Rattus norvegicus: one gene and its partners. The protein of the gene in region 2 interacts with the protein of the main gene of each other region in a biochemical or structural test. Links are inferred from orthologs where the notes say so. Each region holds a gene or a part of one and is shown on either strand. Other genes may lie near its edges. The genes, in order: Cdc25b, Btrc and Cdc25a.

Region 1 (3,648 bases), on a different chromosome or scaffold from region 2:
GCACAATAGAGCCTTGTAGAGCACACCTGTTCCCATCCAGCTGTGGAGTAGCTGTCAGTCATTAGGAGGAACAGCTGGGCATTGCCAGTCACAGCTTTTGGTTTAGGGCGGGGGTTACTATTTCCCCCTGATGTCTTTGATCAGACTGTGCTGGTCTCAAGGTTTATTCACAAACAGGAAATCGAGAGTTGGGTGGGGATGGGAGGAGTGTACGTTGTTTTTTAGCGACAACACAGATAGATCCCTCACCCCTGAGGCCCAGCTACAAATGATGCCAGGTTGATTGCACACAGGCCTCTCTGAGGGTCACTTGGACACTAAGTGCCTCTCCAGTTAGTCTGCACTTACTTTTGACTATTTACAGCTTCTCAGAAAGAAGCTGGGGTGTACGTGTGTGTGTGTGTGTGTGTGTGTGTGTGTGTGTGTGTGTGTGTGTGTTAAGCTCCACATGACAGGTGCTCCAGCAACATTGGAAGGCAGGGCCTGTATGTAGAAGTTGACGCTTCAGCCTCAAATGGAGCATCTGTTGGAATTCCTTGCTGGCTGGCCTCTTCTAAGACAGAAGGAGGGGGTGGAACAGAGGTTGGGTCTTAGAAAATTCCATAGGAGGGAGGAGAGAATGTAACCCTGTATACTTGTCACTAAAGGGTCTGCTGGGCTGATCCAGAAAAATCACCAAAGCAGCCCCTGTCCAGGGAGCCAGGCCAGTGGCTAGCAGAAAGGGAAACCCAGCATTGCTGGCATCCACCCCCAGGGTCACCTATATTACAGGGTACCTTCAGCCTGTTGTCTGGGATGGATCAATGCCTTTCATGGTGGCCATATGGCCCCAGTAATGTAATTTGCATACAGGTGGAAGGCCTGTGCTTGTGTGTGCAGGCTGGCGAGACTGTTGCCTTGGTGATGTCTTAATGACCCTGTGACCTGCCCCAGCTGTCTCCATCACTGCCTTTCTCTGGGCCTGCTTTTCATTCACAGCAGCCTTTACAATTCCAGGCTGCCTCAAACCCTTCCTCCTTGGTCCCTGGTCCCACCAACAGTGCACTATTTTCTACTCTCCCCTCCTAGAGCCTGACCACAGGCCCTCATCCTTGCCCTTGTTGCTGGCCCTATGGGCATGAGCCAGGCTTGGGCCTGAGGCTTGGGGTAGATGTTGGGCTACTGGGAAAATGGGTCATTTCTGCTCTCTCCTAGGTTTGAACAGGCCATTCAGGCAGCCAGTCGGGTCATTCAAAAGTGAGTCTTCCCTTCCTTCCTTACCCACCTCCTGCTGTCTTGTGTGGTGTGGATGTCATGGGTGCAAGGGAATCCTGCCTGCTTTGAGTCACTGGCCTCTGATTTCACAGCTCTGAACTGTTTTTTTTTTGTTTTTGTTTTTGTTTTGTTTTGTTTTGTTTTGCAGTGAGCAATTTACCATAAAACGCTTCCGGTCTTTGCCAGTGAGTATCTTCTGAGGCCTGACAGGGAGCTTATTGGGGGTACCTGAGAGATGTGTTTGAACTAGCCAGGCATTCCCGGACTGGTTGGGGGAGATGGGATTTCATCTGGGGGGGGGGGGGGCTGAAGAGTCGGACGGAGCAAGGTAGCAGAAGGTATCCTGGGTGATACCTGGAATGCAGCCTTTAGTAATCACTGCCCTGTCTGGTTCCCTAGGTGAGGCTGCTGGGACATAGTCCTGTGCTACAGAACATCACCAACTCCCAAGCACTGGACAGCTGGGAGAAAGATGAAGCAGGCTACAGAGCTGCCAGTAGTCCTGGGGAGGACAAAGAGAACGTGCGCTTCCAGAGACCGGGATGGAGGATCTCCAGGGAGAGAAGGGTACACTGGGTTTGTCCTGATAGCTCCTCTCCAATCTTGCCCACAGGATGGATATATCTTCAAGATGCCACAGAAGCTCCCTCATTCCAGCTCTGCCCGAGCTTTGGCAGAGTGGGCCAGCCGCAGAGAGGCCTTTACCCAGAGGCCCAGCTCAGCCCCTGACTTGATGGTACATAGGAGAATAGGGCCAAGGAACAGCTCTGGGGAAAGGTGGTGGCTGCAGACATGGCTCAGTGGTTAAAGGCACTGGTTGCTCTTCCAGAGGTTCAATTCCCAGCTCCCAACCCACCTCATGACCCTCTATAATTCCAGTCCCGGATGACCTAATACCCACTTCTGGCTTCTGTGGTCACTGGTTGCAAATGGCACACAGACATATGTGCAGGCAGAATACCCATACACATAAAATAAAGTTAAAAATTAAAAAAATACCTGGGTGTGGTTGTGTATGCCTTTAATCCCTTCACTTGGGAGGCAGAAACAAGGGAATTTCTGAGTTCAAGGCTAGCTTGGTCTACAGAGTGAGTTCTAGGACAGCCAGGGCTACACAGAGAAACCCTGTCTTGAAAAGAGTCAAATAAGTAAATATAAAAGCTATAAAATATTTTATTTATATATAAATATGTTTGTATATTTATAATATAAAAAATAAAAATATAAATAAATAAAAGCTAAAACACTTTTTAAAGAGACAGTAGGAGAAGACTCCTTCCCCACAAACCGCCTGGGTACTGCAGACTTTTCCTCAGAAGGAGTGACAGGTCCCCACCTGAGTGTTCTGTGCTTGCCATTTGGACAGTGTCTTACCACTGACGGGAAGATGGACGTGGAGGAGGCGAGCCCTGTGGCACAGTCTTCCTCCTTGACTCCTGTCGAAAGGGCTTGTGAAGAAGATGACGGATTTGTGGACATCCTAGAGAGTGATTTAAAGGTAAACAGCCTTGGTCCACAAGGCCCCTACTTGCTCCCTGCTTGGATAGTCCAGACTATCAGCCAGACTCCAACCTCACCCAATGTCAGAAGAATTTGAGGGAACTGATATTGGCCAATCAGAAGACCAGGTGGGCTGGTGCTGCAGAGGAATGGAGGCTAGGCATGATGAAGGTACTTCTGGGTCAGGGCAAGCCCAGCGGCAGCAGCAGCTGGTGTTTGTACAGCTCTTTTTGTGTGTGTGTTGGGGGTGGGGTGGGGCAGTGTTGCTGCCATAGTCAGCAGGGCTGGGGACAACCAGTGTTTCTTTGGGAGTAAGCAAGAGAAGACTCTCCACCATTTACTCCATGCTTGAGTTTGTGATTCTGTCCTTACTGCTTTGACCTCAGGATGATGATATGGTCCCCGCAGGCATGGAGAACCTCATTAGTGCTCCACTGGTCAAAAAGCTGGATAAGGAAGAGGAACAGGTGATGCCCAGTAGTGCCCCCTCGGAGCTAAGGGGACATGGGGTGGAGGGACCAGGCTCTGACTCCTGCCATGTTACCTTTGCCAGGATCTCATCATGTTCAGCAAGTGCCAGCGGCTTTTCCGCTCTCCATCCATGCCGTGCAGTGTGATCCGGCCCATCCTCAAGAGGCTAGAGCGGCCCCACGACAGGGACGTGCCTGTCCTGAGCAAGCGCAGGAAGAGTGGGACACCCCTGGAAGAGCAGCAGCTTGAAGAACCCGTTAGTTCCGCCCTCTGGGGGGCTGGGCTGCTCACCTGGGGTGTGTTTGGGCTGCAGATGCTCTGGGTGTCCTCTCCTGGGCAAAGGTGCAGCAGTGGGTAGTGTGCAGCTGGTTGTTTAGGTGGCAGGGGAAGGAGGTCTCAACCAAACAGCACTGAGAGGCAGTC
Region 2 (3,648 bases):
CACACACACACACACACACACACACACACACACACACACACTTTCTCTCTCCGCAGAGCATATGTGGAGGTCAGAGGACACCTTCTAGGAGTTGGCTCACTCCTTCCACCGTGTGGACTCCAAGGATTAATCTCTGGTCATCAGGCTTAGTGTTGGGGCTTTCTTTCCCTGCTAGCTCATTTCTCCAGTCCTTTTCTAGTATTTTTTCTGCTTTTCTCAGCAGCACTGTTTATATTATAGTGATATGTACCTCTTCAGGCAGAGTATATGTTCCTGACAGCATTCTGCTGGGTTTGTTCATTGTTGTAGTCCTGGCACCTAGAACAGTGTTGAATACATTGTAGATACTCAATAAATATCTATTAAATGACTCAGTTACTAAAAAGTATAGCCTTTAATTTTTTGATAACCAGGAAGGTGGAATTTTTTTTGAAAGAAAAGGTTAACTTGAGCTTATAAGTTATTAGACTTTTTTTTTAAATTTTTATTTATTTATTTAATGTGTATGAGTATACTGTTGCTGTCTTCAGACACACCAGAAGAGGGCATCATATCCCATTACAGATGGTTGTGAGCCACCATGTGGTTGTTGGGAATTGAACCCAGTACCTGTGAAAGAGCAGCCAGTGCTCTTAACCACTGATCCATCTCTCCAGCCTGAGTTATTAGACTTTTGTGAGGTCTGTAAATATTCATTGGTCTTTCTTTGTGTATAAAACTTATTTGACTTAAAAAAAAAAGTTAGTGTGAACAACTAATTATCTACCTGTCCAATAACTGCTACATACGATAAAGAACAAATTAAACTTTTTGCTTGCTAATAATGATTAAATGCATCTGGCTCTCAGTTTTTAATCTGTGTATCCCCGTAGATTAAACTTGTAGAAATGGATGCTTGGTCTTCCCACGGTATACCTGATTGACCTCCACTTTGGTATTTGTAAGGCTTTCCACATGATCATGGTTCAAAATACTCAATTGCAATAAATCCAACAAGAATAATTCAGTTGCAAAGATACACGTTACATACCAGACAAGGAGATTTAGACTCTTTCCCTCATTTTCAATGCTTGCTGTTAAATGATTCTTTCAATCCCCTCCCTCCAACAGACAAAACTTGCCAATGGCACCTCCAGCATGATTGTGCCCAAGCAGCGGAAACTCTCAGCAAGCTATGAGAAGGAAAAGGAGCTGTGTGTCAAGTACTTTGAGCAGTGGTCAGAGTCTGATCAAGTGGAATTTGTAGAACACCTTATATCTCAAATGTGTCATTACCAGCATGGGCACATCAACTCCTATCTAAAGCCTATGCTGCAGAGGGATTTCATAACTGCACTGCCAGGTATGTGCACATCCTTGTAAAGTCTGAGTTCATTCGCCATAGCAGTAATGGAGCTGGATCTTCAACCTTATTCTCCCCAGCCCTGCTTCTCCATAACCTAGATTCACAATGCAGCCAAGACCTGCCTCAAATTCAGCAGTCCTGTCTTAGCACTGACATGCTGGGATATCAAGCATGGTGGCACACGCCTTTAATCTCAACATTTGGGAGGTAGAGGCAGGTAGATCTTTGTGAGTTCCAGGCCAGCCTGGTCTACAAAGTGAATCCAGGACAGCCATGACTCTGTTACACAGAGAAACCCTTTGGGGGTAGGGGTGGGGCAAGAAAGAAAAAAAGAAATCAATTGCTGAGACTACAAGTGTAACACTCCTAGCTACATTTCTCTTTTTAAAATTTTTGTTTGGAGGCTGGAGAGATGGCTCAGTGGTTAAGAGCACTGGTTGCTCTTCTCAAGGACCTGAGTTCAATTCCCAGCACCCACATAGTAACTCACAGCTATCGGTAAGTCCAGCTTCAGAGGATCCAGCAACCTTATTATACAAACATATGTGCAAGCAAAACACCAATGCACATGAAATAAATTTAGAAATTCTTGTTTGCTTTGATAGTTACAGACCAAGTCATTAATTATACCTTCATCAAAATAAAAGAAAAGTCAAACTGCATAATTAAATTCCGTTTTACTTTGTCTCCTGACCCTCTGCTCAGCCTTTTTTGTTTAACCTATATGCAGTTCCAAGTCTAGTTTTGTGTTTTCCTTAACTGTTACCAGATTTGAAGCATGACTTATATGCTTTATTTTCAGTTCTTTTCATGTACTTGAATTTGGATGTGAATTTTAGCAACAAAAAAAAACCACACACACACACACACACACACACACACACACACACACACACACACACACAAAATGAGTGTTTATTTTGTTGTTGGAGTTGTTTAAGAGACAGTCTCTCTACCTAGCTCAAGCTGGCTCAAAAACCAACGTCCTCATGCATTAGCTTCTACCACATCCATTAAAAAAATGCTATTGTAGGAATTAATTTTTAAAAAGCATTTTTTAATATTTTAGAAGAAAGGTCACAATCTTCAAGAAGTGAACCCCGAATTCTGTGCAAACTAGATAAATACTCCGTCACTAAGTAAGCGTCTCCAGAGTGTCCCCTCCCTTCTTTAACAGTGATCCAGAACCCTGCCAGGCATGGAAATAGGAGGTTTACATGGGCTACACTTTCCTTAGGGAATAGTTAGTCATCGTCGACACATCAGAATACAGCTATGTATAAATACATATACATGTGCATATGGATGGTGGCTCAGCCAGTAATAGTCAGTGTGGAAGCTAAGTTCCTGAGTTTGATCCCCAGTCTCCAGAAGAGAGCTGAAAGAGGGGTACGTTTGTAGCCCCAGCCCTAGGGAGGCAGACGTAGGCAGACCCATGGGGCTCACTGACCTCCATTCACACATGTGAATACACACACACACACACACACACACACACACACACACACACACACACAGAATATAGAATACAGTTGCCCAGAACTCCACCACACAGTTCTTTGTTTTTCTTATAAAGTTCCGATCAGTGTGTTTATTTCCCTATAGATCTGGAGCCTGTTTTTTAAAAACTTTTCTTAATATGTTAAAGCCTATTTTCCTAAGTGTGGGTTATTTTAAATGATTTAGTCCAATAGTAGGTTGTATAGTGTGAATACATTCTTTACCCTTTGTTAATTTTTCTCTGTATAAATTATACCATGGTAGACATTCTTATGCATTAATTTATAGACAGTCTCAGAAGAAAAACACCCAAAGTAGAATTGTTGTATTAAAGACTATGAAGAGTTTCGGTGTGCTGTGATTTTGTTTTGTTTGTGTTTATTTTGGTTTCATGGTTTTTTTGTTTTTTTTTTTATGTTTCTGGGTATTTTGGTTTGGTATTGGGAATTGAACCCAGGGCGTCACACAAGCATGGTGCCGCTAACCCCCACCTGCTGCCCTAGAGCAGGAACCTTTTAGAGAGTTTCTTCTCCTTTTGAGATAAGCTCCTACTTTGTGACTTAAACCGACCTCAGATGTCAGCGTTCCCCCTGCCCCACCCCTCCTGTGATTGCAGCTGGGCACCCCACCAGCAACCTCACTTCTAAGGCTCTGGTCCATGCTGACAGCCTCTCCTCCAGCACACTGCACTAGCAGGAGCTGCCTTAGAACTGTGTGGTGCTGCCTCTCTCATTCCTTGGCAGCAATTTCTTAAAGCTTTGTTTTTCTGAACCTAAAATAAATTACCTTTTAAAATTAAATGT
Region 3 (3,748 bases), on a different chromosome or scaffold from region 2:
TAGGCTCATATGGTTGAACGTTTGATCCCCACTTGATAGGACTGTTTGGGAGAGATTTTAGAGTAGGCACGGCCTTGTTGGAACAGGTGTGTTGATGGGAGTGGGTTTTGAATTCTTAAAAACCCAAACCAGGCCCAGTTCTCTTCTCTTCTCTCCTCTCCTCTCCTCTCCTCTCCTCTCCTCTCCTCTCCTCTCCTCTCCTCTCCCCTCCCCTCCCCTCCCCTCCCCTCCCCTCCCCTCCCCTCCCCTCCCCTCCCCTCCCCTCCCCTCCCCTCTCCTCTCTCTTCTGTCTGCCTGCTATCTGTGGATCATGATGATGTAAAGCTCTCAACTACTACTCCTGTTTCAGCCTGGGCTATAGAAGAAATTCTATTTCAAAAATTAATTTAATTTAATCAGAGCCTGGAACAGGAATGGTGGCACATGCCTTTAATTTCAGCACTCAAGAGACAGGGGCAGATGGATCTCTGAGTTCAAAGCTAGGGCTATACAGAGAAACCCTGTCTCAAAAAAGAAAAAAGAAAGAAAGAAATTCAAAATCAGAGCCTGAAGGACTGTGAAGGAAAAGAGGGATCCACGGTACTGTACTACACAGAGGAAGAACCAAAGCCAAGTCCAGATGGCCTTCCCTAGTCTCTATGTCTCCTAAAAGTGCACACAGCACTAGGCTCAGCAGCTCAGACTAGGTGTGTGACCGGCCTAGCACACTCTATGGGAACTACACTACCCAGCATGCAACTGGAAAGGAGCGAGATAGGGGGGGCCTTTTGGTCCGGACTAGCGCCCTCACAGGGAGTTTCATTGACTTCTCTGCTCCTTTCTCATTTCTGCCACCTCCCAACTCTTCAGGCCTCGCCCCCATGGAGAGAGGGAGTGACCACGAGGAGGCCCGCGAGATGCTTCCTCCTTTCCTTCTCATTGGTCCAGCTCAGCTGTCATTCGGGAGCGAGGAGAAGTATGCTTCCTGATTGGTGAGTTCCGTTTGGCGCCAACTAGGGAAGGGGCGGGGCGGCGGCTATCCTGAGTGTGCAGCAATTAACGCTAAGGCCACTTTGGTGGTGAGGGAAGTGGAGGTTCCTTTCCTCTGTGCCGGGTACCGAACGAAGAGGAAGGAAAAAGTGAGGAGAGTTAGTCCGGTCGGTGGCCTCAAGACTCTGGCTCCGCGGAGTTTGTTTGGATTTAATCTTGAGGTTGCAGGCGCCCGCCCGCCTACGGGCCTCGCGGGACACAGAGAGAGAAGCACCGGTGCTTGTGCCTGGCGCCTGCCGAGTCCCCGACGCTCGCCCGTCCGCGCCGCTGCCCGTGGCGGCCGCGTCTCTGAACCGCGGGGTCGTGTTTGTGTTTGACCCGCGGGCGCTGGCGGCGTGGCACGCGGCTGAAGCCGGTGCCAGCGGGGCGGGGCCCGGCGCAGCGGAGGCGGAGGAAGACGGAGCGGGAGTCCGGGCAGGCCCGGCGGCGCCATGGAACTGGGCCCGGAGCCCCCCCACCGCCGCCGCCTGCTCTTCACTTGCAGCCCCACTCCTGCGCCGCAGCCCACGGGGAAGGTGCTGTTTGGCGCGTCAGCTGCTGGCGGACTGTCCCCTGTCACCAACCTGACGGTCACCATGGACCAGCTGGAAGGGCTGGGCAGGTGAGAGACTGGCGAGCGATGCCCCAGGCCGCTGGCCTCTGGTCGGCCCTCGGGATGACCTAGCAGGAAGCAGAGTCTGTCCCCCTGGTTCTGGTGCCCGGATCCGGGATGGCCTGGCCAGGGCCCGCCATGTGCACCCTCCCCCCGGGCGGAATGTTGGGCGGGAGAGGCCGTTCGGATAGTCCAGGGCTATCCTCAGCCCGAGCCAGACCGGAGGTCAGGGAAGCCTGCTGGGCATCCTGTCTTGTTCACCCCTTTCAGATTTCAATCTACTCTGTCTCTATTCCAGAAAAGTCTTTGGAATCTACCCTTACGGGGGGAAAATGGCCTTCACTACCACTCTTTGCTGAACCACCCGCGTCGGATCTTAGTTTCCTGTAAGCTTTGTTCCTTCTCAACAAAGGGACATGGCATTTTCTTTTCTTGCATTTGTGCAAAATCTATGCAGCCGCTTGGCCCGCACGTTTCTTATATCTACCCATCTACCTTTTTACAGCTATCACTTTTTAAACTAACTTTTCTACATTGGAAATCTTGGTGGACTTAGTAGCTCTACACCACTACCACTAACAAAAATGCTTTTAGAGAAGTTGCTTTTCCTTCGGTGTTGGGCATCTGGCCTCCTAAACGTGCCTTTCGACTTTTCCAAACCCTGAAAAGCTGGGACTCCTGGCCTAGTCACCTTTGCCCTTATTCCTAGCATGGTACCTCAGACTGAGGCTCTCATTTAAGGAAACAACCCAGCCTTTGCCACAGGCATGTCTTACAATGTGGTCCAAGGCCAAGCCACTCACTCCTTTCTTTGTTTAAATGCCAACTGGGGTATTCTGGGTGGCCAAGTGTGAGTGTGGGGTGTCCTTGGCTTGGTCTCTCAAGATGGTTTGTGGCAGCCTGGCTACTTCATAACCCATCTCCTGTATGTGTCCTTTTAGTCAAATACTAAAAATAGCTCATGTGGAGGTATTTCTCTTGGTTTCAGTGACTATGAGAAACCAATGGACGTGAGAAATAGCAGCAGTCTACAGAGAATGGGCTCCTCTGAATCGACTGATTCAGGTATTGTCATTACTTATGTGTATGTATGTGCTCATGTGTGTAGGTAGGTGTTTAGATCGAAAGGCATCAGAGCTCTGAGGCTGGAGTTACAGGACATTGTGAGCTGCCTGATATGGTTGCTGGGAACTGAATTTGTCCCCTCTATAGGAGCACCAAGTGCTATTAACCACTGAGCCCCTTATTTTTAAAAGTTTAATTAAATCTATTTATTTTGAGACAGGGCCTCACCATGTAGATCACATTGGCCTCTTGCCTCTTGAGTGCTGTGGTTAAAGGCATGGGCCACCATCCCCCTGACCAATCCAGGCATTTGTTCAGCCTTCACCATTCATTCATCTGGAGTCAGCCATTCTGGAAGTGTCTTGCCTAGGAATTTAATTGGTAACAGTATACATAGAAATTATGATGTGGAGTGACAAACACCCTTCCTTCAGAGGGAAGGAGGGAGCTCCTGAGACAGTTTATGGAGAGAAAAGAGTGCGGAGTCTTCCATGTCTTTAAGTGTGTGCTTTTCTATGTGTGGATGTTGGCTTGCATGCTTCTCCTGTGTGCACACGGTGTGTACTTTCCTTGAAGGCCAGGAGAGGGTGTCATTTGCTGGAGCCGAGTTAACGGGCATTAGCCTGTGTGGTTGCTGGGAATTGAACTCAGGTCCTCTATGAGAGAGCAGTTGTGCTCTTCTGAACCATCTTTCCAAGACTGTTTTTTTTTAAGATACAATTTCACAGTATACACCAGATGGGCCTCTTGGAACTGAACTTAGCTGGTTGTATTTTTCATACCCCTAAGTGAAGTATATTTGGGGGGGGGGAGCTCCACAAAAAGATTTAGGGGTCAATACTATCTGAAAAGTCAATCTTGATACTAGCTGGCCTCTTCAATCTTGTTTCTCTGATGGTATTTGCAAACAGAAGAGGGTCCATGGACATACTAAGAAAATGTTGCTTAACACCAGAATGTATATTATTTTCTAAGAATTTTGTTTTTATTTCTCAAAGGTTTCTGTCTAGATTCTCCTGGGCCCTTGGACAGTAAAGAAAAGTATGTATTCACTACTTTAAA

The links.
Region 1: the proteins of Btrc (region 2) and Cdc25b form a complex in vitro, tested with the Homo sapiens proteins (2 studies listed by BioGRID, with this or other methods). The link is inferred for Rattus norvegicus from reciprocal best matches to the Homo sapiens genes BTRC and CDC25B.
Region 3: of the proteins of Btrc (region 2) and Cdc25a, one has a biochemical effect on the other in vitro, tested with the Homo sapiens proteins (3 studies listed by BioGRID and IntAct, with this or other methods). The link is inferred for Rattus norvegicus from reciprocal best matches to the Homo sapiens genes BTRC and CDC25A.

The regions. Positions count from the first base shown.
Region 1 is NC_086021.1:138,863,041-138,866,688, forward strand, and holds part of Cdc25b (M-phase inducer phosphatase 2), read left to right. Parts: intron 1-1,194; coding exon 1,195-1,236; intron 1,237-1,402; coding exon 1,403-1,439; intron 1,440-1,653; coding exon 1,654-1,776; coding exon of another isoform or gene 1,777-1,821; intron 1,822-1,867; coding exon 1,868-1,990; intron 1,991-2,620; coding exon 2,621-2,752; intron 2,753-3,140; coding exon 3,141-3,221; intron 3,222-3,307; coding exon 3,308-3,481; intron 3,482-3,648. UniProt on the Homo sapiens protein: Tyrosine protein phosphatase which functions as a dosage-dependent inducer of mitotic progression. Directly dephosphorylates CDK1 and stimulates its kinase activity.
Region 2 is NC_086019.1:254,295,317-254,298,964, forward strand, and holds part of Btrc (F-box/WD repeat-containing protein 1A), read left to right. Parts: intron 1-1,110; coding exon 1,111-1,342; intron 1,343-3,648. UniProt on the Homo sapiens protein: Substrate recognition component of a SCF (SKP1-CUL1-F-box protein) E3 ubiquitin-protein ligase complex which mediates the ubiquitination and subsequent proteasomal degradation of target proteins. Recognizes and binds to phosphorylated target proteins.
Region 3 is NC_086026.1:118,741,831-118,745,578, forward strand, and holds the start of Cdc25a (M-phase inducer phosphatase 1), read left to right. Parts: upstream 1-1,217; 5' UTR 1,218-1,460; coding exon 1,461-1,630; intron 1,631-1,919; exon of another isoform or gene 1,920-2,007; intron 2,008-2,609; coding exon 2,610-2,686; intron 2,687-3,684; coding exon 3,685-3,727; intron 3,728-3,748. UniProt on the Homo sapiens protein: Tyrosine protein phosphatase which functions as a dosage-dependent inducer of mitotic progression. Directly dephosphorylates CDK1 and stimulates its kinase activity. Also dephosphorylates CDK2 in complex with cyclin-E, in vitro.